3 linked regions of the Caenorhabditis elegans genome follow. The protein of the gene in region 1 interacts with the protein of each later gene in a pairwise test. Each region holds a gene or a part of one and is shown in the gene's direction. Other genes may lie near its edges.

The links. Proteins that work in one complex are often made in the same cells at the same time.
Region 2: the proteins of sem-4 (region 1) and ceh-31 interact in a two-hybrid assay, tested with the Caenorhabditis elegans proteins (one large-scale study listed by BioGRID).
Region 3: the proteins of sem-4 (region 1) and scrm-2 interact in a two-hybrid assay, tested with the Caenorhabditis elegans proteins (one large-scale study listed by BioGRID).

Annotation. Positions count from the first base shown.
Region 1 is NC_003279.8:7,035,717-7,044,232, forward strand, and holds the start of sem-4 (Spalt-like protein sem-4), read left to right. Parts: upstream 1-3,183; 5' UTR 3,184-3,191; coding exon 3,192-3,267; intron 3,268-4,924; exon of another isoform or gene 4,925-4,995; intron 4,996-7,968; coding exon 7,969-8,117; intron 8,118-8,516. UniProt on the Caenorhabditis elegans protein: Transcription factor, involved in positive and negative modulation of transcription. Binds to multiple DNA sequence motifs in the regulatory elements of target genes, including homeobox selector egl-5 and LIM homeobox mec-3.
Region 2 is NC_003284.9:3,065,808-3,073,445, reverse strand, and holds ceh-31 (Homeobox protein ceh-31), read left to right. Parts: upstream 1-3,023; 5' UTR 3,024-3,138; coding exon 3,139-3,304; intron 3,305-3,561; coding exon 3,562-3,832; intron 3,833-3,889; exon of another isoform or gene 3,890-4,172; intron 4,173-4,226; coding exon 4,227-4,572; 3' UTR 4,573-4,798; downstream 4,799-7,638.
Region 3 is NC_003279.8:13,232,184-13,239,503, forward strand, and holds scrm-2 (Phospholipid scramblase), read left to right. Parts: upstream 1-3,164; 5' UTR 3,165-3,183; coding exon 3,184-3,546; intron 3,547-3,710; coding exon 3,711-3,953; intron 3,954-3,996; coding exon 3,997-4,099; intron 4,100-4,143; coding exon 4,144-4,202; intron 4,203-4,257; coding exon 4,258-4,287; 3' UTR 4,288-4,480; downstream 4,481-7,320. Other genes in the region: ZK1053.2 (uncharacterized protein), read left to right, coding at 69-236, 285-380, 428-770, 818-893, 944-1,407, 1,964-2,217, 2,268-2,477; ZK1053.6 (SLC41A/MgtE integral membrane domain-containing protein), read left to right, coding at 6,357-6,581, 7,029-7,320.

The DNA of each region.
Region 1 (8,516 bases):
GAATGGAACTAAAAAAGCATACATTGATGATGAAGAAGAAGAAGCAATTCGATCCTGTCATCATGTTCGTTACCGTAAAACACAACTTTACGCAAAACGAAAAGCAAAAAGCAAACGGGCGGTCGAATAAAGGCGAAGAGAAAAAAAAAACGAAATGTCAATATTGTGATGATTTATGAGAGGAAAAGGAGGAGCAACTAAGAAATAGAAAAACCCGAAGAAAATGGATGATTACTCGTCTCGTCTTGCTCCTGTACATACCGTTGTCTTTAATTCTCTACCGTCTCTCTATAGAGACCAGAGAGGAAGCTTCTCCTTGTTCCGCAATCCTACTCCTCAAATTCTTATATTTGTTCTTTTTTACTAACCGACGACACCCCGCGACATACGTTTTTTTGCTCGTGCCTCGTGTATGTCATACATGGATTGGGACTCGATCAAGTTATTCAACTTGTACCATCCTTCTTTCACACAGTAACCTAGACACCTTTCTACAGTAACCCTAGATAACTCATAAATTTAAAAGTACTCCATTTATAACTGGAATATCTAGATTTTGTGCATCTGATTCTGGAAGGCATAATCAAAAATTAATCTCATACAAGTTCTAGAATTCAAAGATGTTAAAAAAATTAAAAGTATTTCATCTCTTTTTAATTGAAGTAATTTTTTCAAAATAAAAACATTTCGAAATTGGAATCTGATGAAATTTAACACAAAAATGCCTACCTACTTGCCTGCCCAGCAATCGCAACTTACCGTGAAACTTCTAGGAAGTTCTAAAAAATAAGTTTGTTGCTAATTTTTAATAGACCGTATTTGTTTTTCTTGCTCATATCACGATTCTTTGGTTTTATACAAATTGTTGGGGGTGAAATATTAATATGACTTAAAGAAGTACGATGTTTGCAGAAGGTAAATTTGTTTGGCCCCAAAGATTCCTTTCTATTTGTCTAACTTCACGGAAACCTAGTTTTATCATCAACTTCCCAATTTGAGTAGATTACTTGTATTCTCTCTATTCTAACATTTTCTTTTTCATTGCTCCTCTTCCATCACAATCTAGCTAAATCATAAAATTGCAACACAAACAGCCGCCCCATGGTTGAGGCCCGGGGAGGCTTCTCCTCATCATCATCGAGAGCCCCACACAGTAGTAATTCATTTATCTCTGCCTCTCTGCACCCTCTCACTTCTCGTTCTCACTATCTCAAATGGGCAATTTAAAAGTGGGCGGGGCTTTTGGGTCTCGGAACTGCCGGGGGCCCAAACTACTTGCATCTCTATCAGTTCTGAAACGGAGTGAAAAAGAAAAAGAACAAAATGGGCGGAGTCATGTATGAGGGAGAAGACGTGTCGGTCTCCCGTGGCGGTCGCCTTCTCTCTCTCTTTTGCAACAACTCATATTTTACCAGATCATATCTCGTCCCTCACACAGGCGCCCGGAGCGTCAGGTACAAGAATGAGTACCTGGCGCGAATCGAATCGAATATGTCTCCCCTCACCACCACCACCACGGGGGTGACAATTATCATCAAATTCGTCTCGAATCATCGACGACGTCTTCTGATGAAGAGAGAAAAAAAAAGACTTTTTCTGGGGTTGACTGTGTTCATTAATTCAATTAGTGTTTTATCAATCATTCAACAAATCATGCAAGTAATTCAGTTATTCATTCATTGATTTGCCATTTTTAGAAATTTCTGCTTTTTTAGTCAAGTTCTGAGGTTGAGACTTTCTTGAGAACTTTCAATAATGTAGTTCCATTTTCACATAAAACAATTTCAACCTGCCATGTTATTTTTAATATCTCAGCTAACACCTTTCAGAGCTCACTTACAGAAGCTTAACATCTGCAAGACGGAGCAACCATTTTTTCTGTAGTCTGGCGTCGAGCATGATTTTTAAAAATGATTTGTACTAGAAACTAATTGTGACGCCACAATTTGCGAGAAAGGGACACTGTCACTTTATAGCGATATATGTATCTATAACAAATTTCTGGGTTAGCTTTGCACTAAGGCTTGTATCTGAAAACGTCCGATCCTCATTTCCTATCTAAATTTAGAAATCAAACTTTACAACTCAACCTAAAATAATTCTAGTCTACAAGATCTGATGACTCATAATCCGAAAAGCCTGTAGAACACACACAAACAGAACTCAGACCCCACCAAATTTAACGGAATCTTCAACCGCATCTCGCACTTTATATTCATACCGATCCGATCTTTTTTCCATCCTTTTTTTCCAACTATTTCAATTGCAACACCGTATCCACCTCATGGAAAAGGGGAACCGCTCACTCACTCATTTTATACGATTTTCATCTTCTACACCCTCACTTACTCACATCATCACTCACTACCTTCCCCTGATCATTTTTTGAGATATTCTTTCTTTACCCAACCATGAACAACAAAATTTCATATTTACACTCGAAAAAAATCATCCGATTCAAGATTCTTCTGCGGCTATACTCGTCATTTGGCGCGAACTGATTGCCTATGGTTGATCCAAAAATTACTCTTTCAAAAACTGACAAAGCTCGGGGCAAACTTGAGAAAGTCCTGGTTTATGATGTACCCAAATTAAACTCACGTTTTATCTAGCTGTTGTGAAACTTGTATTGTATCGTTTTAAACTTGGCTGAGACGCTGAAAAGAGTTAGATCAATTTTGGGCTGAATCTGGGTGCGGCCTAAACCCAGTCATATAACCAAGTATTTCGTAACTTTTGCAAAGACAAATGGCGAGCCGGTGCATAATTCAAAAATGTTCATTCCAAAAATGCATTATGGGCAAATTTAGACTATAGGCTCGCCGCTCGATAACTAGCTCATTCGAGCAATATCATTTATGATTAATGACTCTATTTTAAAGTTCAATTTTTTATCGTCAATTGAATTCCATTCCCATTCCCTTACTGCCATCTCGTGTCTTCAATACTTTTACCATTTTACTCTAATAATATAAATTTTGATAATAGCCTTGTTTTCGCAATATGTGCCCCCTTGTCCCGTCGCCTTCTCATCTTTCTAATATAAATCGTTTTTGTTCTGTCTCTTTTCTCTGTGTGTGTTGTTTTGTATCCTTTTCTCTGCTTTTTTCCCTCTTCTTGTCCACTATTACTCTTTCATTCTTTGCCTATCATGCTCATCTTCTAGTAATTTCAACTTTTCAGAGCTCCAGATGAATGAGCTGCTCGCCGAGATGGCCGCGGTTTCATCCCGCAGAAAACAGTCAAAACCACGTCGAATGTCTGGTGGTAAGTTGAGGGAAATGAGAGGAAAATGCGGGGTGTTTAATGAAGTAAAAGACAAGAAAATGAAACAAGGCGATGATGATCGACCTTGAAATCTTGAAATTTTCTGCGAAAATAACAAAGTTGAATATTAAAACTTAAAACGCACTTTTGGAATGTTTCAAAATCATTTTAGTTCTACATTTTTGAAGGTTTTTAGACTTTCTAGAAAAACCAGTTATCACTAGTTTTTATGGGTTTTTGGGACATAAGTAATGAAAATTGGAAGGAGACAATAAATTGGTGTAAATTTACAATTTTAATGTCAATTCCTCTTATCAACTTATCAATATTATTCATATTACTTCGAATAGTTTCGGACGAGACATTTGCTAGAAAACCAGTATTAAAAAAAAATTAATATTACCAAAACCATCCTAGTTTGGCATTTTCATTTAAATATAATTTATCATATATTTCTCGTTCATTCATTTTTTTAAGTTTTAATGAGAAATCTGTCACATCTGTTCCACTTCAAGGAACACTTTTTCATTAAAATGTTTCCAACACAGAACCTTGTCAAATATGATAACATATCTCTTATCTCTATCTCTTTCGTATCTTCTTACCTCATTTTTAGTGTTTTTTCAATGCTTTTCCTTCGATTCTTTCAATCATAACCAATCAAAACCTACCGTAGTCCAAAGAGCTCCTCCCGAAGACCAGAGACACTTATTATATTTCCATTCATCTTTTCATATTGCTCCGCCCCTCCGTCACATTTCCATCCAATCATAAGCGACTATGAGGAGAAAGTGAGAGAGAAAAAAGAGCAAGAAAGCAGAGAAACGAGAGAGAGAGAGAGAAAATGTCCAAATATGGGAGTGCAAGGGGAAGGGAGAAAGAGTTTCGGAGAAAAAGAAAACCAATCAATTTGGCAAGTTCTGAGACAGACAGACATGAGAGAGAAAGGATGAGAGCATGTTGAAAAGGGGATGACAATTTGACAATTTGAACTTGGTGTCCAGCTCAAAGAGCAAGACTGAAATTTGTTTTGAAAGTTTTTAGTAGATAATGTTAACCAAAACGAGTTTCACAAATATTTCACCTGTGACAATAAAAGTTTAATTTTCCATTCAGTACTGTCAAACATTTCAACAGCTGTTGACAATTCGATGAATGTGAAGACCCAGTCTCTTAGAGCATGACTTTGTATGCAGAATATTTCTTGGTACTTTCTGCCTGTGTATGTGCATACAAATTTTACAGTCGTATATTTTCTATAAACATGTTGAAATTTAAGATTAACCTTTTTTTATTTAAAGATATATAGGCTTACTATTAGGCCGAGGTTGCCTTGCAGGCACGTATGCTCAAAAAAATTTTATATTCATCTTTGAGAAAAGAAGTGTATCATTTGTATCATAATTTCCGGTATCAGTTGTCTCTAAACCACCACCATCAGCTCTCGGCTTCATCTTCACAAATCATTTTTTGTGACGAACAAGTGCTCTTGTGTGTGAGACTTGAGACTTATTGTCATCTCATCTCTCTGCTGATTCTTCCATTGGCTGAGCCCATTATTATTTTTTTCTATTGAAAGCCTTATTGATTCTCTCTTTTTTGTGCTTCAAGTGGCAACATTATTGTGTTCGAGGTCCGCGAGCCGCCGCCTTCGACACGAGTCGAGTCGAGCCATCATAAAATCGAATTTATGATCGAACACAAAAGAAGTTTAGAGTGGCAGGATGAAGACGTTGTTGTTGCGAATCAGAATTCTTCTTCTGTGGGTCTTCTCCCCTCGAAACTCGATCATTTATTATAGTGTTTTTGTGTAATACGAGAGAAATAGTGTGCAATATCAGAGCTTCCTCCTTCAACAAGCAATATGAATTGGTTGGACGATGGAGACGAAAATTGAAACATTATGTGTGTGTGTCACAATGTGTGTGTGAGAGTGTGTATTTGAGGACCAGCAGAGTATCATCATCTCATATATTTTATGGATTTTTGATGGTAGCAGAGGTAGATGAGTTGAAAAAAAAGATATTTGGGGAGGAGGAGCGTTTGGATAACACTCATTAACATTGGAGGACTCTTTATGAGCGCGTGAGAAGAGAATGAATGAGACTATTATTGAATGGATGATATCAAACCAACTGACTCGCACACAGATAAGATGATAAAAATGAAGAGTTTTTGAGTTTTTGCTCATGAGTTGCAGTTACCAGAGTACTTTATTTTAAGGGGCTCAATTACGATATTTGCACAATCAAACAGTTCAAAACTGAAAATAGATAGCGTCATGTAATTCTCGCCTCGAACGAAAGTTTGGGTAGTTCCTTTGAATCCAGTACTATCTGATAATTGAAAGATTTCAGCTGCAAAAGGCAACTCGTCACCAAATTCTCAGCCAAATTTCGCCAACTTCGGCCACTTCCGTAAATGGCACCTAGAAAAACGCTAAAGTTGGTTAAGAAATATCGTTGATTTTCCGAGCAGTTTGACGAGATTTTTTGTTTTAACTTTCAGCTGAAATTTTTTTGAGAGCAGATTTTTCGAGTCTATTTACTACTACTTTGGAGGACCGTAATTTTGCTCTTAAATTGAATTCGGAAAAAATTATAATTGTAAAGGTCTCTAGGGGTATGCAAACATTTTGGAATATTTTTGGAAATTTTAATTTAAAAAAATTAAAGCCTAAAAATATCCAATTTTGAGCAGTCTTCCAGTTCTCAAAGAAATGAATCATTCACTTTAAAAATTTTCAAATTGAAATTTACTTTATACAGTTAATGTACAGCGACATTTTGTGTGGTTACCCAAAATTATATTAAAACAATTGAAGATATCTAGAAAGTTCAAAATTTGTTGCTTCCAGTGTTTTTTGAAGAAACAGGATTTACTTTGGATCTTTTGATCTAAATACTTGAAGTTGTCGTTTTGCTTCGATGTTTTAATTTGTTCGTTTGAAAACTTCAAATTATGTCTCTAATTGTACAATCATAGTCCCCTTTCTCAATCGGCCGTTATCATATTTACAGTATCCTCCATCTTTCCTCTGTAGACACATCGTGTCCCAATCGACTCGAATTAGTTGTAATATGCGGAAAAGTTAATCAAATCATGCCCTTTTTGTCAATAATCAATCGTTGACATCGTCTTAATTTTTCCGTTAAACCCACCTCCTTCTTCGTTTTTTGCTGCCTTTTTCGTAATGTTTATTAGAGCGTACTTAACCTTTTCACCCCCTCATTTTCATTCCTTTTCTCTAATTTTGGCTAATTCTCGCAATTATTTTTCAATTTTTTTGTTCAATTTGAAACTCTTAATGTTTTGTTGCGACCCGAAGACGTCGTTGTTGGGAGAAGGGGATGAAGTTTTATGTGTTTCCGACGCCTTCTTCTTCTTTTGATCATTTACCGTTTTTACAATTTTTTATGACATTTGGAAGGAAGGTTGTTGCTTTTTGGAGAAGTTTTATTTTACTATTAAATTGGTATATAGATGACTTTCTATTTAGGGACGATACTCTCTGTTTTATTGATAACTGAAGAATGTGGAACAGGAGGAGTAAGATTTATTTTTTGCCTAGAAGTTAGGGGGACTGTGAGGTGCAAAAAACTGAAATTGACCAACGTTCAATTCTGAAAATTCGGAAGTTGGAAATAATAGGGCTCAACATTTCAGCCGTTTGCTCATATGTCCAAATGGCAATAGACAGCTGAGCAGAAATATACTCGAAATGAAAAAAAACTAAAATAATTCAGAATTTTCAAAATTTTGCAAGATTAATAAAAAGAAACCTGAAATATAAAGTTTGTTCGAAGGCAAACTTTGTTTCAAAAATTAGGATAGGTGAACACGGAGCGACTCAAACTTTCGACTACAAGTATACATTTCAAAAACATTCTTGAAACGTCTCCCTTGAACACAATGATACCTAGATTTAGCCTGTAAAAATCTTTTACACTCCATTCTATTTTAGTTGGTAAAACTTTATGAACTTATCATGTTGCTCTTCCCAATATCTCCACATATTCATTTTTCTTCCAAACCAATCAATCATAATATATCCCCTCTCATAAGTCTCCACCCATCATCCAATCGGATGCCTCCTCCTCTCTCTCCGTTCATCTGTTCCATTAAGTCTCCGTTTCGAATACGGTAATATACCCTTCCGGATCATCAAATCGATTTCTATTTTCAACAACAAAAAAGCGTTTCGGAAATTATAAATGTTGCGAAAAAAGATTTCAATGAGAGGGGTGAGACAGGTTCCGAACCCATAAAGCCTCCTCCTCTTCCGTCCCTCCACGGGGTCTCCGCACACATTAATGGTTAAGAATCTCTTTCAATTCACACGCTATTTCATCCATACAGCTTCCTTCGATCTGACGCGACGACGATGACTTTTTGTGTGACAAAAAGTTAACGAGCAACCGATGTCAAACTGTGTATGTATGTGTTTGCGTCGGTTTGTTGCGATTTTTACGACCCCTTCTGTTTCTTGTGAAGAGAGATGAATCGGATCGCCGACGGCGGAGAAGACGTGCATAATTTTTGCGTTTTTTCCGCGCCATTGACACCGATTTGGTACACATTAAATTAAAGATAAATGAAGAGAGAGTGGGCGGAGCTTAGAGAGAGTTGGGTCCATTAAATCTTTAACTTGCAACAACAGAAATTACAAAAAAGTTAAAAAATAACAATACATATTTACAGAAGGTGATGCGATGATGTCTCCAATTGATTTATCGACAAAGAGTTTTGATGAAAATAACTGTGAGAAGGGAGCTGGTGGAGCACTTCCATTGGAGGATCGATCTAATATTTTACCTCATTTTTCTGTGCCATTTGCAAATCCACAGCAGGTAGGCAGTTAAGAGAGATGTTTTTGTAACTGAAAAGGCTAGCTTGTTAGGTGCAAAACTTTGTTTAAAAGAGGTTTAAAATCTGTTCAAACTATTCTCTAAGCATTTCATTTCAATTTTTATTCCGAGAACCCAAATATTGGGACCACAAAAACCACAAGTGTATTACGGTTACCAAAAATAAAAACTGTGACAGTTCTAGACATTTGTAAAAAAAAACCCCATTTACACAGATAATTTAGCGGCAGATTAACATTTTGAACTGGAAAAACCGATCTGAAAATTTTCAGTGAACTTTTACACTTCTTTCGAAAACACTCAGAGTTTTGTAGGTTTTTAATGAATTGAAAGATGTAAAGGAAGGAGAGCATTTTGAAAGGGCTTAGAAAGTTTATGTTT
Region 2 (7,638 bases), on another chromosome or scaffold:
GTTCTGGAATCAAATTTTTTGTTTCAGCACCTTCTGGAAGTTTCAAGAAAATTCTAGACTGTTCTAGAATCATCTGGAAAATTCAAAAAAGTTCTGAAATGCTCTACAACCTCCTATAACTGTAGGAGTTTTTATTTGTTTCGTTACATCTATATTCAAAGAACTTAGTAGTTAATTATTCAGACTTCTCCAGTTAAGGAAAGTTATTAACTTATTAAAAAAACTGTAACTCTGTGGAATTTTTTCGAAAGCCTGATAATGATAATGTGTTAGTAGAAAAATCAGAACATTCTAACTGTCTCTTTGAATTTTCTGAATCGTATACCATGGAAGGAGAAAATGCGATTTAATCGATGAAGTTTCAACTTTTTTTAATGAGGCATTTTTGAATGATTAAAAGGACATCTATTTGTTATACATTTTAAACTCCGCCAGTCGTTGGCCGCGCCGGAGGCGCGGTTATCGGCTGGTTATTGATAAAATTTCCAATTTTCAGAGTGACAGTTAAAAATATTCAGATGTAATATGTTGGGAGATTTTTTTGAAAATTGTGTTTCATTGCCAAAAACATGTACTTCTGTAAAAATCAGAGTTTACTCATTTTTTTAACAGCTGTCGAGTTGCCGAAGATTTGAAATATTGAAAAAATTTTGAAAAATCTTATTAAAAGATGACCATTAAACAGTAGTTGAAAACAGAAATATTTTTGAAATTGAAACGGGCACCTGAAATCATGATCAGGCTACTCATATTCAACCTTTCTAAACGTTGTTTTCTGTGGATTTATTATATCACTGAAATAATGCCGAACTGAAAATTTCCTGTTAACAGAGCAAGTATAACTCCATTCAAAACGATTTAATTTCTTGTTAAAGAAAATGTTCTTATTAGGCGCTGCACAAGATTAGAGACCACCCGAAGGAATTATAAAACTGCAGGTGTGACATCGAAATTGGCAGTTTGAAAAGCAGTCGTTTGTCACGTCTGTCGAATATCCGGGCGAGGCGACAAATTCCTCCCGGTATATGGGTTGTCCTTGTATTTTGGTGAGCGGGCGGCAAACAAGCGCAGACTCCTACCAATTTCGCGCACTTCAATTTAAAAGTCTTCCGACATGAAGTCAAAATTCAGGAACATGTTCAATTGATGATTTTACTACTGGAACTCACTCTTATCTTGAGTTGTTGTTACAATACATTTTTTTAGAATTGAAAAAAAGCTCTGTAGTTTACATTTTTGATAATTTTTTTTGACCCATTAGTCATTCCAACACAAAAATGAAAACCCGTAGTGTATTCGATTAGTAAATTTTCCAGATGACTGTGTTCGGTACCCTTAATAACAGTTCACCATATAGCGGTTCCTCTTTTCCTCATAAAACCCCGGTAATGGGCCTACAGCTGTCCGTCAAAGAGAATGCAGATATTATTGTTGCTCATCGACCGTTTGTGACCGGAAATATTGCTTATTAGTTAGTGGGAAAGAGGGAAAACGATGGGACAGCATAAAATTAGATTTGTACGTTTAAGTTAACGTTTTACGGAGGTGGCCGCCAAACATAAACAGCCGGAAAACTAGAGAGGTAATACGGCAGGAAATTAAGTATTAGTAAGTTGTTAGACGTTGATAACAAACAATAGATTCGCGTTGTTCATGAATCGGTTGTGAAAAATATAACGATTGTTGACATTGTTCACTTTGCAAATATATTTTTCAGAATGATAACGATGTTTCAACATGATATTTTATTGAAAACTTTTTGAACAAATTTTCAAGCAAACATAAAGGGTCTGAAAATTTTTTACAACTATAAATATTAGTTTATAATTTTTAAAATATTTCAATATGTAAAACAAAGTTTTTTTGCTCATAATAGTCTATAAAAGAGGAACCCAGACTATTGCAAACTCGGCTACCGAAAAATACAAATTTAAACTCTAATTAAGTATAAATGCTCAAGAAATTAAAAGCTCGGAAAACGTTTACATTTTTTTAGTTCCTATAAAGCTCAAAATAAATAAAAAATTTACTTACTTAGCATTTTATTATAATTTTTAGTGTTTTGAGAATCTGATTTTTGCGGATCTGGGATTAAAAAAATTAGGTACCAGTTTAGTACACCTGGTCCAAAAATATTAAACCCCTTTTTGCCGATAATAGGCTTAAGGTTAAAGTATTTCAAAGTCTAAAAATGCAAATCTATTTCATGGTTTGAATAAATTATTATGTTTCAAAAGAAATGCATGGAAAATGTACTGGAAAATGTTTTTGTGTTAGGTATACTACACAAGTACCAAAAGATGTTACCAGTTAATCTGAACTGTACGTGTGAAGCAAGTTTAAGATCACAGCCAGGAAAATCTAAATGCAAAATGAACTATCAAAAGTAGTCACTGTTACTGAACTTTTCAGATAGTGTTTTCCATTGTGCTGATTTCAAATCAGTGATGTATCAAATATTAAAACACACACAATGTACCTATTAGACCTCATCATCTTTTAGTCAGAAAGCTGAAACATCATTCGGGCTGAAACTCATTTTTAGCTTTAGTCGCTAGTTTTTGCACGCCGAAGCAGCATGCTATTTTTGATTTTTTCTGCGGTTTTACACTAGCATAGCTAGTTATATTGAATTCTATTCAGTGCTTTTTTATCTGAAAATCATTGCTCGTTTGGATCATGTTGCATTGCGTTGTTACTCTGCTTTTAGGAAAAGCCTAGTGTGCATAGTTTGCATTCGGCAGTTTCGGGATTTGTCTGAATTGTTTTCTTCTCACCTGAATGCCTCATTTCCGAAACTTTTGCTTTTCGTCTTTTCCTCGAAGCTGCTCGTTTTCAGCTTCATCGTCCCCCATTATCACACTTGATTGGCTTCAAAAAGGTGGATTGCACGGACCACACTTCTCAATACAAAACCGCGTGGTGTCATCCATTCTATTCCCTTCTTCGACACGCCCCGCCTTCCACTTCGCATGGGCGTGACTAGACCAATCAACGAGTTTGCGACGTTTAGTGACTGCAGGCAACAGGACCCTTCCAACCCACTCATTCACACTAAACTACTGTCTAAAAGTCATTCAATTTGACTATTACAAAACTTATTGTATTGTTACATCATCTGATAAGGTTATCATAACAATGTCAATGTTGGATCTCCGTCAGTTTCTGATTCCTGCATTCTTTCTAGACCCCACCAACCAACTTGCTGCTCAGAGTTCTTCCGGTGGCGCGAAGATAAACTTAAACAGCTCTTTTCGCATTTCTGATCTGCTTGATCCAACTTCACACTCAACCAACGAACCAGGTAATCCATTTTGCCACCATTTTCCTAAAGTTATTGCATTTATTGTATGTTCGTTCAACCATCTCTAACACTTTAATCTACATAGACTTCCATGAGAATGTTGAATGTACAACTAACCTGAAAAATGATATTTAACGGATTAACGCTCCAGTAGTCACATGGACGGTAATCTGTAATAGTAATAGGTCAACCAATTATGATCCTTTGTTCTCCTCTTACCTATACAAACAGTTTTCTTTATTTATTTGTTATTGTAGATCCATCTCCTACCTCCATTAATTCCTCGGAATCGCCATCATCCCCTAGAATTGGGAGCCCGAATACCGAAAGATCTGTGAACGAGAGTCCGACATGCGTGGGATCAAAAAAGGCTCGGAAGGCGAGAACTATCTTCACCGACAAACAACTTCAAGAGCTAGAAAACACCTTTGAGAAGCAGAAGTACTTGTCTGTTCAAGATAGGATGGAGCTGGCTCATCGAATGGGGCTAACAGATACTCAAGTAAAGACATGGTATCAAAATAGAAGGTTGGTCGGCTATATTCCTTAATTAGGCAAACTTTTTTTCTTTTCTCGAAAAACAACAACGTGTGGCTCTTTGCGCCAGCAGTTGGGCGAGAATTGAGTCTAAACACGCCACTTTGTGTTAATTGTAGTGCATTAGCGAGAAGCTTCACCCCCATCGAAATTTATCTTAATCAAAGCTCTCACCCCTCCTCAATTTCTTTGCGTGCGCCCACCAATTTTATTTAGTAGTGTCATCTTTTTTCCGCGCCCTCCCCCACTCCTTTCAACCACCCCACGGGAAACGGCTCCACTGTCATTATCCAATTTTTGAGATTGGAGCTGCTACCCTGGGAGGCGCAAAAAATTTGAGAAAAAAAGTGCTTGAAATGAAAAAAAATGTTCACGGTACTTTCAGAACCAAATGGAAACGACAAGCCTCTGTTGGTATGGATCTTCTTCACGATGCTGGAAATATGGCCGCCGTTCAACAACTTCTAAGAACAAATCCATATTGGGCAAACTACTTATCACAGAACACTTCAATGTTTGGAGCTTCTAATAATCGCCCTGTATTCAATTCATTAGTCGTCCCAACTTCTTCAATGATTCCTGCTAGCAACTCTCAAAATTCTCTACTGCAATTTCTAGCATCGCAAAACGTAAAAGATGATATCAGTTCCCCAAAAGAATCACCATCAGTATCTCCTGATTCTGTAAAAAATGCATCTGTTTCTAAAAAAGAATCAGATGAGGATGAATAATACCTTTCCACCTTGAAGATTGTTTTTTTTTCGCTTAGAGTATTTATCCGGTTTTCATCACGCAAAATGTCAAATTCTCAATTTCTATTGTTTTTCTCTTCTATTTTTCCTGCTGAGCCACTTTAATTTTGCCCTCATTCTCAAAATCCGATCTCTTAATTTCTTCTGTAATGTTTCACTTTCAATGTCTTGGTTATTATAAAATAATAAAATGCAATACAGTCAACGGACGCTGGAGTGTTTTCGCTCAAGTAACAGAACATTGCGAATCATTCCAAATGACAAAATTACGGTAGCGATTTCCTCACACCAAGTGCGTCAATTAGCCTTCTCATTAATAGACAATTTTGGGGGGAAGCAAAAAGTCGTCCCGCTTCCTCTCCACCTCAAACACTCTACGTTACTCGTCAAAGTGGAGGCCTTCCAACTTTCATAGCTGAGTAGATTTTCCGTAACACCTTTACAGTTGAAGATCGTCTGCCTAGGAGTCGAATAATTCGTCAATTATAGCGACACCTTTTTCGAACAATGATGCCACCCAATTTGAGAAAGGAGGTTAGAGACGCGTCCTGTACAGTTTGTCAAAACCTCAACCTTCTTTTCATTCGTCTTGTTCAATTGTTTAGCAAGATGACAATTGTCGAAGGAGACCGCAGCCGTGTATTATTGCAATTGAGTCGACTTGTTAACGAATTATTGTTCAATCATGTCATCGTTTCAGGGGTCGTTGCGAGAATGATTTATTGAACTGGTCTTCGTATTGGAATGTCAAACATTTCCTGTAAACTCATGTAACTCAACTTATTCACCATTTGACATGAACTCGTAAACTCATGTAATGTTATTGAATGGAAATTGGGAAGAATTCATCGGGGAAAAAGTTCATCTAAAAAAGAAATAAACTATAGAAATGGCAATAAAATCAGCTATTCATCTGAAACTACTCATCTCTGTCCTAATTAGTTTCCAATTTCCTCTCATAAATACCGCAACTTGTCCCGAGAACTTTACCCGGCGTCTTTCCACTATAACTTATTCCAAGCATACGGTGTCTTCCTAGGAAAAATCCGCTTTGAAATTAAAATGCGGTTTTGAAAGTGTGCATCACTTCTAGCCATTGTTCTTTTTCAGAGAATTTATATCTAGAAAAATTTGTGTGATAGTGACAGAATGATTGATTGAAATCACAGTAAAATTGCAGAGTTAGAAAAAAATGTGTGACTCCGCAAGAATTCAATTAAAAAAGCCAAAAAAAATTTTCAAAAATTAAAAAAAAAAAAAAATTTCAAAATTTTATCGCTGATCAATTTAGGATCCCACTACTTTACCTTGAAAGGTATTATCCTAGTTCCTTTGGAAATCATCAGATACGTAAAAAACATATTCTGCCAGTTGGTGAGCAGCCGAAACACAGAATCGTGATGCAAAATAGAAGAAATACGGTAAAATACTCGAAAATCTGAAAATCAAGAACTAGACAATTTTGTAATTTGTCCTATATGCAAGTGTGATCAACTGTTCAATGATCCCGATTAAAGGTGTCAAACTTTTGCCTTCCCCCATATCATACACATTTCTCCCAAATTAGCATCATCTTCATTTTTTATTCATCCGGGAGCTCATCGGACAAAGGAGACGACAGGTGTATACGTGTATTTGTCAGTGTGTGTGTGTGTGCTGAGTGTAAATTGAATCAATTGCCACCAGCCCCCTGAGCTAATTCCCTTGTAATCTTTTTATTGAGAGCAGCAGTCAATGATACATTAGGGGTGGTTGACGAGCCACATCATCAGATCACGGATCGGTGCGCAGAACATCATGATTGTCTCCGTTGTGGCATAAAATATGGGAAGAAGATCAAGTGATTGTAAAACAATCATTAGATTATCTTATTCTACCTAATCCAGAGGTTGTTAAAATAATACTAATTATGAGGTTATAATTTTTATGACCCCATCGACGGAACCAAATTCATCGGAATGGTTGCAAACTGTGTTTTTGGATGTGTTCATTCACAATTCACCCCACTACCGTTCACGGTGTGGTGTCCAATTGCTTTAATGACACCGTTCCTTCAAAATCCTATTTATTGGCGGTAGACGATTACCGTACTCGTCTCCTTTCTCCCCTGTCTATTCTCGAATTAGATGTCAAGTGGGTTTCAATGTGTATATGTGGGTGTGTGTGTGTGTGTGTGTGTGTGTGTGTGTATGTACACGACCAATTTGTCTAAAGACGAGAACGATGATCAGGATGAGGGCCTGGAGTTTCTCAAATGCGAGATTTCCACTAAATGAGCCTGGTTTTGTGGGCGACGAAAAGGGGAAACATAATAGAAGAGGAGCGTGTTACATGGAATTAGGCGTGTTAGTTGTTAGTTGTCACTGAACCGGAAGAATGCACACTTCTTGCGTGCTTACACAAACATACCACTAGCCTAACACACTACCAATTACCAATTATCTTAAGCTTACTAATGAACGACACTTGTGCTCTTCCGGGGACAAAATTGAAACAATGAACTGTAGAATGGAAGCTGCTATGATTTTTTATCCTTAAAAATTTATACCATTTCAGCAATATGAGTTAGAGAGAGCAATTATATATTGTTAAGTCAAATGTTATAAATTGAAAAATGTAGCATGATAGTAATTCTTGAAAATTTTCTAATTTGAAAGGCATCAAAATATGTACTATCGACTATTTTTTCTAGGTTCACTTTAAAATTTAAAAGTTCACAAACTTTAATTTTATTATCAAGTTAACAACAAATTTGTATATATTCGCGCCTGTAGCAAGCATTTTAACTGAGATCGTGGCGAGACCCACTCAGAAAAACAATTTGTGCCTTTACTATGAATGTCAAAATTTTGCTAAATTACTACATATCATTTTTGAAAAAAAATTTTGGAAAATTTTTATTGCGAGAAATGTTTATTGTTACTGGTGAAAACTGAGTTCGATTCACACAAAAGTACCAAAATTTCCAATTTCTATTTGAAAGGTTTTATCATGATCTTTGGACATTTGAACACCATAGAAATAAGTTTTACTAATTTCTCCACA
Region 3 (7,320 bases), 6.2 Mb from region 1:
TCGCTCGATTTGGAGTAAACGATATCTTCGAAAGCGACGAGTTAAAGTGATTGAAGAAGAACAAGATGATGCATTTCAAACACGCACTTATCACTTGTCTTCTCGTTTTATCAACAACTACCATCATTTCTGCTCAAATACCCGAAAATCCAGTGTGCCAACCAACGAATCAGATTGGAAATGCAACCGGTGCACATTTTTTGTACTTTCTTGATAAGGCTATTGAACCGGATTTGGTGAGTAATACTCTTACTGGTTTTAGTGAGAAATCTAGTTTTTTTCAGCTCTCTCGTCTGACATATCTTCTCAAAGCAATTTCCTGCGAGATTCCAAGCAATGAGAAGATTAAGAACATGATCGTATCTTATTCTGGGGATAATGTAAGATTTATCAGTTTTTAACCTAATCAACCTGCTCAATATTCCAGCAATACTTTGGTGAAGCCGTGAAAAGTAGTCAGCTACCTTCCAGTTTGTATCTTCCGGTAAAGGAATCCTCGAAGCCATCCTCAAATCCTTGTGATAGCTTTCGCCAAGCGATTGCAAAAACGCCGTCGGAATATTTGAATCACGAAAATGTGCAGTTCATTGTGTCCGTTTTCGGTGACGCCACGTGTTTTTTGAAAGCTTTTCAAAGTCAGTTCAACGGGAATTCGCGGAAAAAGAGCTTCTTCTACAATGGAATTCTTGTTAATTCAAATCTAACCAATTCAAATAATCAATCGATCAGAATGGTGATTCCGGATTTGGTGAAAGCAATTAACACAAGCAGTTAGTAATTTGAAGCCATCTGCCTTTTAAAAAATGTCTTTTTTCAGGAGTCTCCCTTGTAGGTTCCGACAAAATCAACGAGGTCCATGAAAGTGCTCATTTGGTTCAGAGTTATGCGAGCATGTATGTCCTGATCCTGTTCACCTTTGAAAATTATAAAAATTTTTATTCAGGATTCGAGATATCCTTCTTGGCAATAGTGTTCACGACTGGGAAGAAATTCTGACAACTACACTTGCTCCGGTGACGTCAACCATGCCCCCAACAGCAAAAAGAGCAGCATCGATAGACGATGAGGGAGAAATGTTGACGTTCGATGGTAGTGCGGATGAGGAAGTGGTGATTCCTCCATCAAATGCTACTAATTCGACGTCTACAATTGCTCCGACAACTCATACAATCCTCTCGAGCACAACAGAAGTGAAGACTACTAGAAAGCAATTCAAAAAGATTGTTCCGATTCCCAAACCATCGAAGATCCCGTCTCGTTCTTCGACAGCTCGTCCCACAACAACCACTGAAGAATACGATGCGGATACGGAAGAAGACGCCGAAAAACTTGAAATGATGTCAGGGAAGAGGAAAGTGGATAATGGAACTACTGTATATGTTCCCAGTGATCCGGATGCCCAGGAAGGTTAGAATTTGGCACGAGGAGTAGGCGATCACGCCTCGTCGATCTAAGGCACACTGAGCAGATCAGACCTAATTGCGACCTGCTCGGCAAACTCCACCAGCTTTCACGTAGTGCGCGTTTGAAATTTGGTAATTTGAGATTAATTGATAAAGGCCTAGTGGGTTTGCGCCGCCTGCGACCAAAGAATGATTGGACAGACTAGGAATCCCAGCTGAGTGAGGCGCGAAATGCGGGCCTCACGCTGATACCGCTGTGTATTCGAATGTGTATTCAAAATATATTCAAATGCAAAAAGGCAGTTATTTGAAGCAGCCGACACTGTCGGGGTTCACTATACATTCGGATACATGCGGCTTGAGTGACGCCGTGAGGCCGGCGCGGTGACCGCTGAGGCCAGCGGATGCGCCGTTGCGGCGACTTCATGGAAGCCCTAGCACATACCTATCTAAAATACTGCGCCAGAAAGCTGACAACATTCTGGAGAAAGTATCTACACTAACTATAAGTTAACTCGTCAGCACTGTTGCCAGCTATACCGTTACCAATTTTCTTACAGGAATCGATGCGAACATCCTTATCTACATCCTACTCCTTGTCCTTCTCATTTGGTGCTTCTGTATTGCCCTGTGTCTTATTTGGATGTACGTGTGTGCCAAGCAACGAAAACACAAGATGATCAGTAAAGCTGAAGAGGAACGTGAAGCTATGTTGGCACTTTTGGAGAAAGGACACGAGACGGAGCACAGTTCTCGTAGAGCTAAACCATCGGTTTCTGTGGAAAGTGATGAGTTTGATAAGGAGTGGAAAAATGTGAGTTACAAAAACAGTTATTGATTTTTTTTCCAATTTTTAAATTGCAGATCAAACCATCCAAGTACACCCCCGCTTCTGTTTCCACTAACGAAACTAAATCCGAATTGGAGAGTGTGAAGCAACCGGTTGCAGCTACCCATGTCGCTCCTGTAGAAGTTTCAGAGTTCGAGGAGAGGCTCGATGATGATGTGGATCATAAGCCAAGACATGGAGGATATGTTAAGACGAAGAGAACTGCTGACTTACATTTTGACTGAAAATGAATAAAGTTTATGAGGGAATTAAATGGAATGTTAGTTGATGACTCAGGAATAAATTTTCGATAATTCCCAAGAGAAATGTGGTGACCCCTGGTAGCTTCTAGGTAATTGCAAATGAATTCTCGTATGAAAATGTTATAAATTGAAAAAATTCTCTCAATTTTTAGTACACGAGTACCCTGAACCTTGTGCTGTTTTCAAAGTATGTGTGTCTAGCTTCCCTCTTCGTCTATGCGCCTCTCACTTTCCGAACACATTCGCTGGTCCCACTTTCTGAACCCGCTTTTTCTCTGTTTCATGTTTTTTGAGCATCAATAAAAACAACGAATGTTTCCTACTTTTGACCAGTTTTCCGGTTTCAACTGTTCAGCAATTTTTTTCGATCTAAAGCAATAGTTTTTACTGTAATTTCTGTAGTGTTTGAAGAAAACCCCACGGATTTATGAGTTATAAAATATCAATATGCGTTTTTAAGTGTTTATTTCGACGAAATTTTTTTTACCTCTATTTTTATCAGTTTTAGAGCTCGATGAGCCGAGTAAAATTATTGAGTAGTCAGTAAACTCTTTTATCTATTTTTTCTATTTTTGAGCACCAATTTTGTAACAAAATGAAATTTAAGAATTCGGACCAATCTTTGCTTAGTTAAGCGCAATTTCAAACAATCAGCAACCCGTTTTTTATAAGTTTCAGATTCGAAATAATGGATCAACTATTTTATAATGGACCACCTGATTACGTTGAAATTGAAGACCGAGCCATAACAACTGAACCAGGAGCTTCTATACAAGCAGCTCCCGGAGCAATTTGGATGGAAGCACTTCCAGCGATTGAGGGAATCCCAGCAGGGTTGGAATACCTTGCCTACTTGGACACGGTCATGGTGCATCAAGTGAAGGAGGTTCTTGAGATTCTTACTGGATGGGAGAGTAAAAATAAGTATGCTATTAGAAATAAAAATGGACAGCAGTGTTACTATGCGTTCGAAGAATCCAACGCTTGGGAGAGACAGTGTTGTGGATCGCAACGAGGTTTTACGATGCACATTGTGGATAATTTTAACAAGGTGAGTTATGGCCTAGAGATGCAGATTTCTAAGCCATGAAGCTTGAGTTCTTATCACTTTTTAACTCCTGATTATTTCATGGGATGTGTAATAATAGGAAAACATTCCTAAAGTTTCTTGAAAATTCTTTTAAATTAAGTTTTTAAAACATTTGTTTTGTTAAGAATGTGCTCATCGTCAAACGAGAATTAAGATGCTGCGCAGACTCATTTTGTGGATGCTTGCTAGGTCTTCAAAACATATGCACCATTGAATCACTATCAACTGGCCTTCTGGGTACTGTCCTTCAAGGATATGGTTGCACGAATTCATTCTATAACATTTTGGATAAAGATGGAAATCTGATTTTCCTAGTTGATGGTCAAGGATGTTGCACAAGTTGCTGCTGTGAAGATAAGGATTTTACGGTGACAAGACTTTGCCGAATTTAAAATACTCCATACTTTTCAGATCAAAACTCCCGACAGCTCCGTGCCAATTGGCTCAATAACCAAGAAGTGGGGTGGACTATTGCGTGAAGCGTTTACCGATGCCGACACTTTTGCAGTCACCTGTGAGTTAGTCTTGAAAGTGAAAGAATAGTTGAAAGAATTTCAGTTCCCATCGACCTTGATGTCAAGCTCAAAGCGATACTGCTGGGAGCCACATTTTTGATTGTGAGTTTTTGTGCTTCTTATCCAAAATTTAATTTAACTATTACTCTATTTTCAGGATTTCGTGGAGTTCGAAAATAATAACTGATGTGGAAAAACTGGAAATCTCGCAATGCACTTCTCGCTTGTTTTCTGCGATCAGAGCTCTAATTATGAAATGATAATGTGCTTTCTTTGTATGCATGTATATTAAAATAAGACATTTTGCAAACGCGCCGTTTGCATCGCTTTGCTTCTTTTCTTCAACATCTTCAAAATGAAATAAAATAATTATAATTATATCGCACTTCCAATAAGCGTAAAGCAAGAACGATTGAATATATAACGGAGAAAACTCCGATATTAAAAATCTAGAAATCTTTTGATTAAAAATCTTTCGGTAAACTGATAAATACAAATTTGGCCTACTTTTCACCTGTATCGTTACCACCGACATGCTCTACTGCCATGCACATCTCTTCAATTCCGTGATTTACGAGACGAGAGGCAATAAAGATCACAGTTACGTTTTTTAAAGATTACAACTTTTTCAACTTCTTAGATTTTCACGAATACTTCCTTGTTGCATGTCTACGAAGCAAGCCTGCTGCCGAACCCAATTCTTTCAAAACGAACTATATTCATTTTTCAACCCTTTTTGATAAGTTTATCTTTTGTTAAAATATAAGAAAATGTCTTCGGAAGATCCTATTTATTCACAAAACGAATCACTGTTGTTAGGCAGTTCTAACAAGTAAGTTTCTTTTTTTGCACTGCTAGTGAGCCCAAGATTTTCCAAATAAAAGATTAATTTTGGCCATTTTATATTCAAAAAATTTATTAAAGGAAGTAAAACGTTTATCGTTCAGTTTTTCACAAAAAAATATATACATAAAAATTTGCGAAAACTCTGAATATTTTTTAAGATCCCAAGCAAGTAATTCTTCTAAGACAATCGCTAAAAGAGCTACAGTATTCATTGGAATCTTGTTCATAACAACGCCAATTGTTTTTGGCTTGTCCGAAGTTGTTGGTAAGAATAATGAGGAAAGTGAGAAAAGCGATATATGTTAAATAATTAAGAAATGGATGTTTCAGGTTCTCCTAAAAATCAAACATCTGAAACCACTACAGCAGAAAATAATACAACTCGTGAGTGTTATATGTATTTTTCAGAAAATGATATGATAGTTGTCGTATTTTTTCGTGTGCGGCAAATTTGTTGAATTTGGAAATTTTGCCGTTTGCCGTGCAACGGCAAATTTCAAATTCTATTCATAAAGTCTATTCATAAAGTATTCATATAGCCCAAATAAACTGTATACTAAAGTATTTCCAGTTTCAGTTGTCCATCGTACATCCTTCAAAACACAGGAGAAGATGGTCCAATTGATTCCGAAATCAGGACAAGACTACATAAAATTCACTTATGACATAATCAAGGACACCTATTCTTATGATAACGTCGATGGAACCCCAGTTAGGCCAATTGTTGCTTCTAATATAGAGCGAGTCAGACAGAGAACATAACGAAGCATACTTACATCGCAAGAATTATCTCGAATATGCACAAGTAAGTTTTCAATTATATCAACAAAGTTTATTAATGAGTTTTAGATGCGTTGGTCGTTCAATGTGAAGAATGATGGAAAGAGAGTTGAAAAAATAATGTTTCAAAATTACCGGAACAGAACCACTTGATACTTTTGCCGTTGAAGCATTTCCTGAAGCTTGTTATTCAACAGGCCACAACGTCTGATAAACAGATTTATAAAAATTTCTAATATTACTTTTCAGATAAGTTGCACCTATTATCCGTTGAACGGATATGTTGAATCGGAAAAAGAAATTGAAAGTTTGAATATGAACGTAAGTATTTTCAATTCATGTCAAAATTTAGTTCAAAATCTATTCCAGTTTTTTACTTCACAAAGATGTTAACATTTTAGAAACCGATATAAAGGATGAGGGTAGTGTTGAAACGTTTTCAATTGAAGCTTACTGGAAACACAACTAAAAATCATTTAATAAAATAGTTTATATATTTATTTTTATTTTCAACTAAACAAACGTGAACTCTTATCCCCCTCCGTACAGAAAAAATTCCACCACAAAAATTCCACCACAAAATTCCACCACTTTCCGTGGATTTCATAATTTTGAATTTATTTCTTAACAATGGCGGAAGCGCCGCGGAGTTCTCCCGTTTCACCGGAGGAACAATCAACCCAGGAATCGTCGCCCAATGACAGCTATGTTCCAAGGTCGACATTAAGGTCTTCTGATGAAGAGCCGAAGAGTATTCTGGAGCTCTATACTCCAAAAATACTGACATCTATGGAGACGGTTGCAGACGAGGAAGCGGAGAATGTGCCGGAGACGATGTGCGAGATTTTTAGTCAGGTTGGTGTGCAGAAATGTGCCCTCAAAGCTGCGAGATTCTGTGAAATCAAACTTTAAAGGGAGAGTTTACATTACGTAGCTATGCAGGCGGGCGACGGTATATCTAAAGTTTTGTAGAACTTTCCTGAAACTTCCAGGGAATTACAGAGGTTTCTCGAACTTGACAGAATGCTCTAGCTGTTTATAAGTTTATAGCAAATTCTAGAAGTTTCACAAGCTGATTATAAACTTCCCGAACTTCTCAAAGTTTCTCGATAGACCCCAAAGTTGTTTGAAAAATCAATTTTTGAATTCTCGCCCAATGGGTCTCGAAGAAAAAAGTAGAGGCTTCATCCGAAACATTGTGCCACCCGGGTTACTGTATATGTACTATCGTAGCTAACATTCTAAGTTAGTGCCGTAGACAATGACTATTTGAAAAATAGTTGTATCATTATATTTTCCCAGAGTCTCGTCCCATTCTTCCTCGGTGGCTGTGGATCTATCTCGGCTGGCCTCTTGCTCACCTACGCCAACAAAACCATGACACTAGTGAAGGAAGTTCCCGAGTTCCTCGTCCTAATGCCACCACTTCAAGGTCTACGTGGTAACCTGGATATGACTTTCTCTTCAAGAATGTCAACACTAGCTCATAAAGGAGAATTCAACGAGCCAGATATTTATTTGAGAGTCAGAAAGAATGCTGCAGTGGCGCAGGCTTTATCAATTCTCATCTGCATCCTGACCAACTTGATTTCCT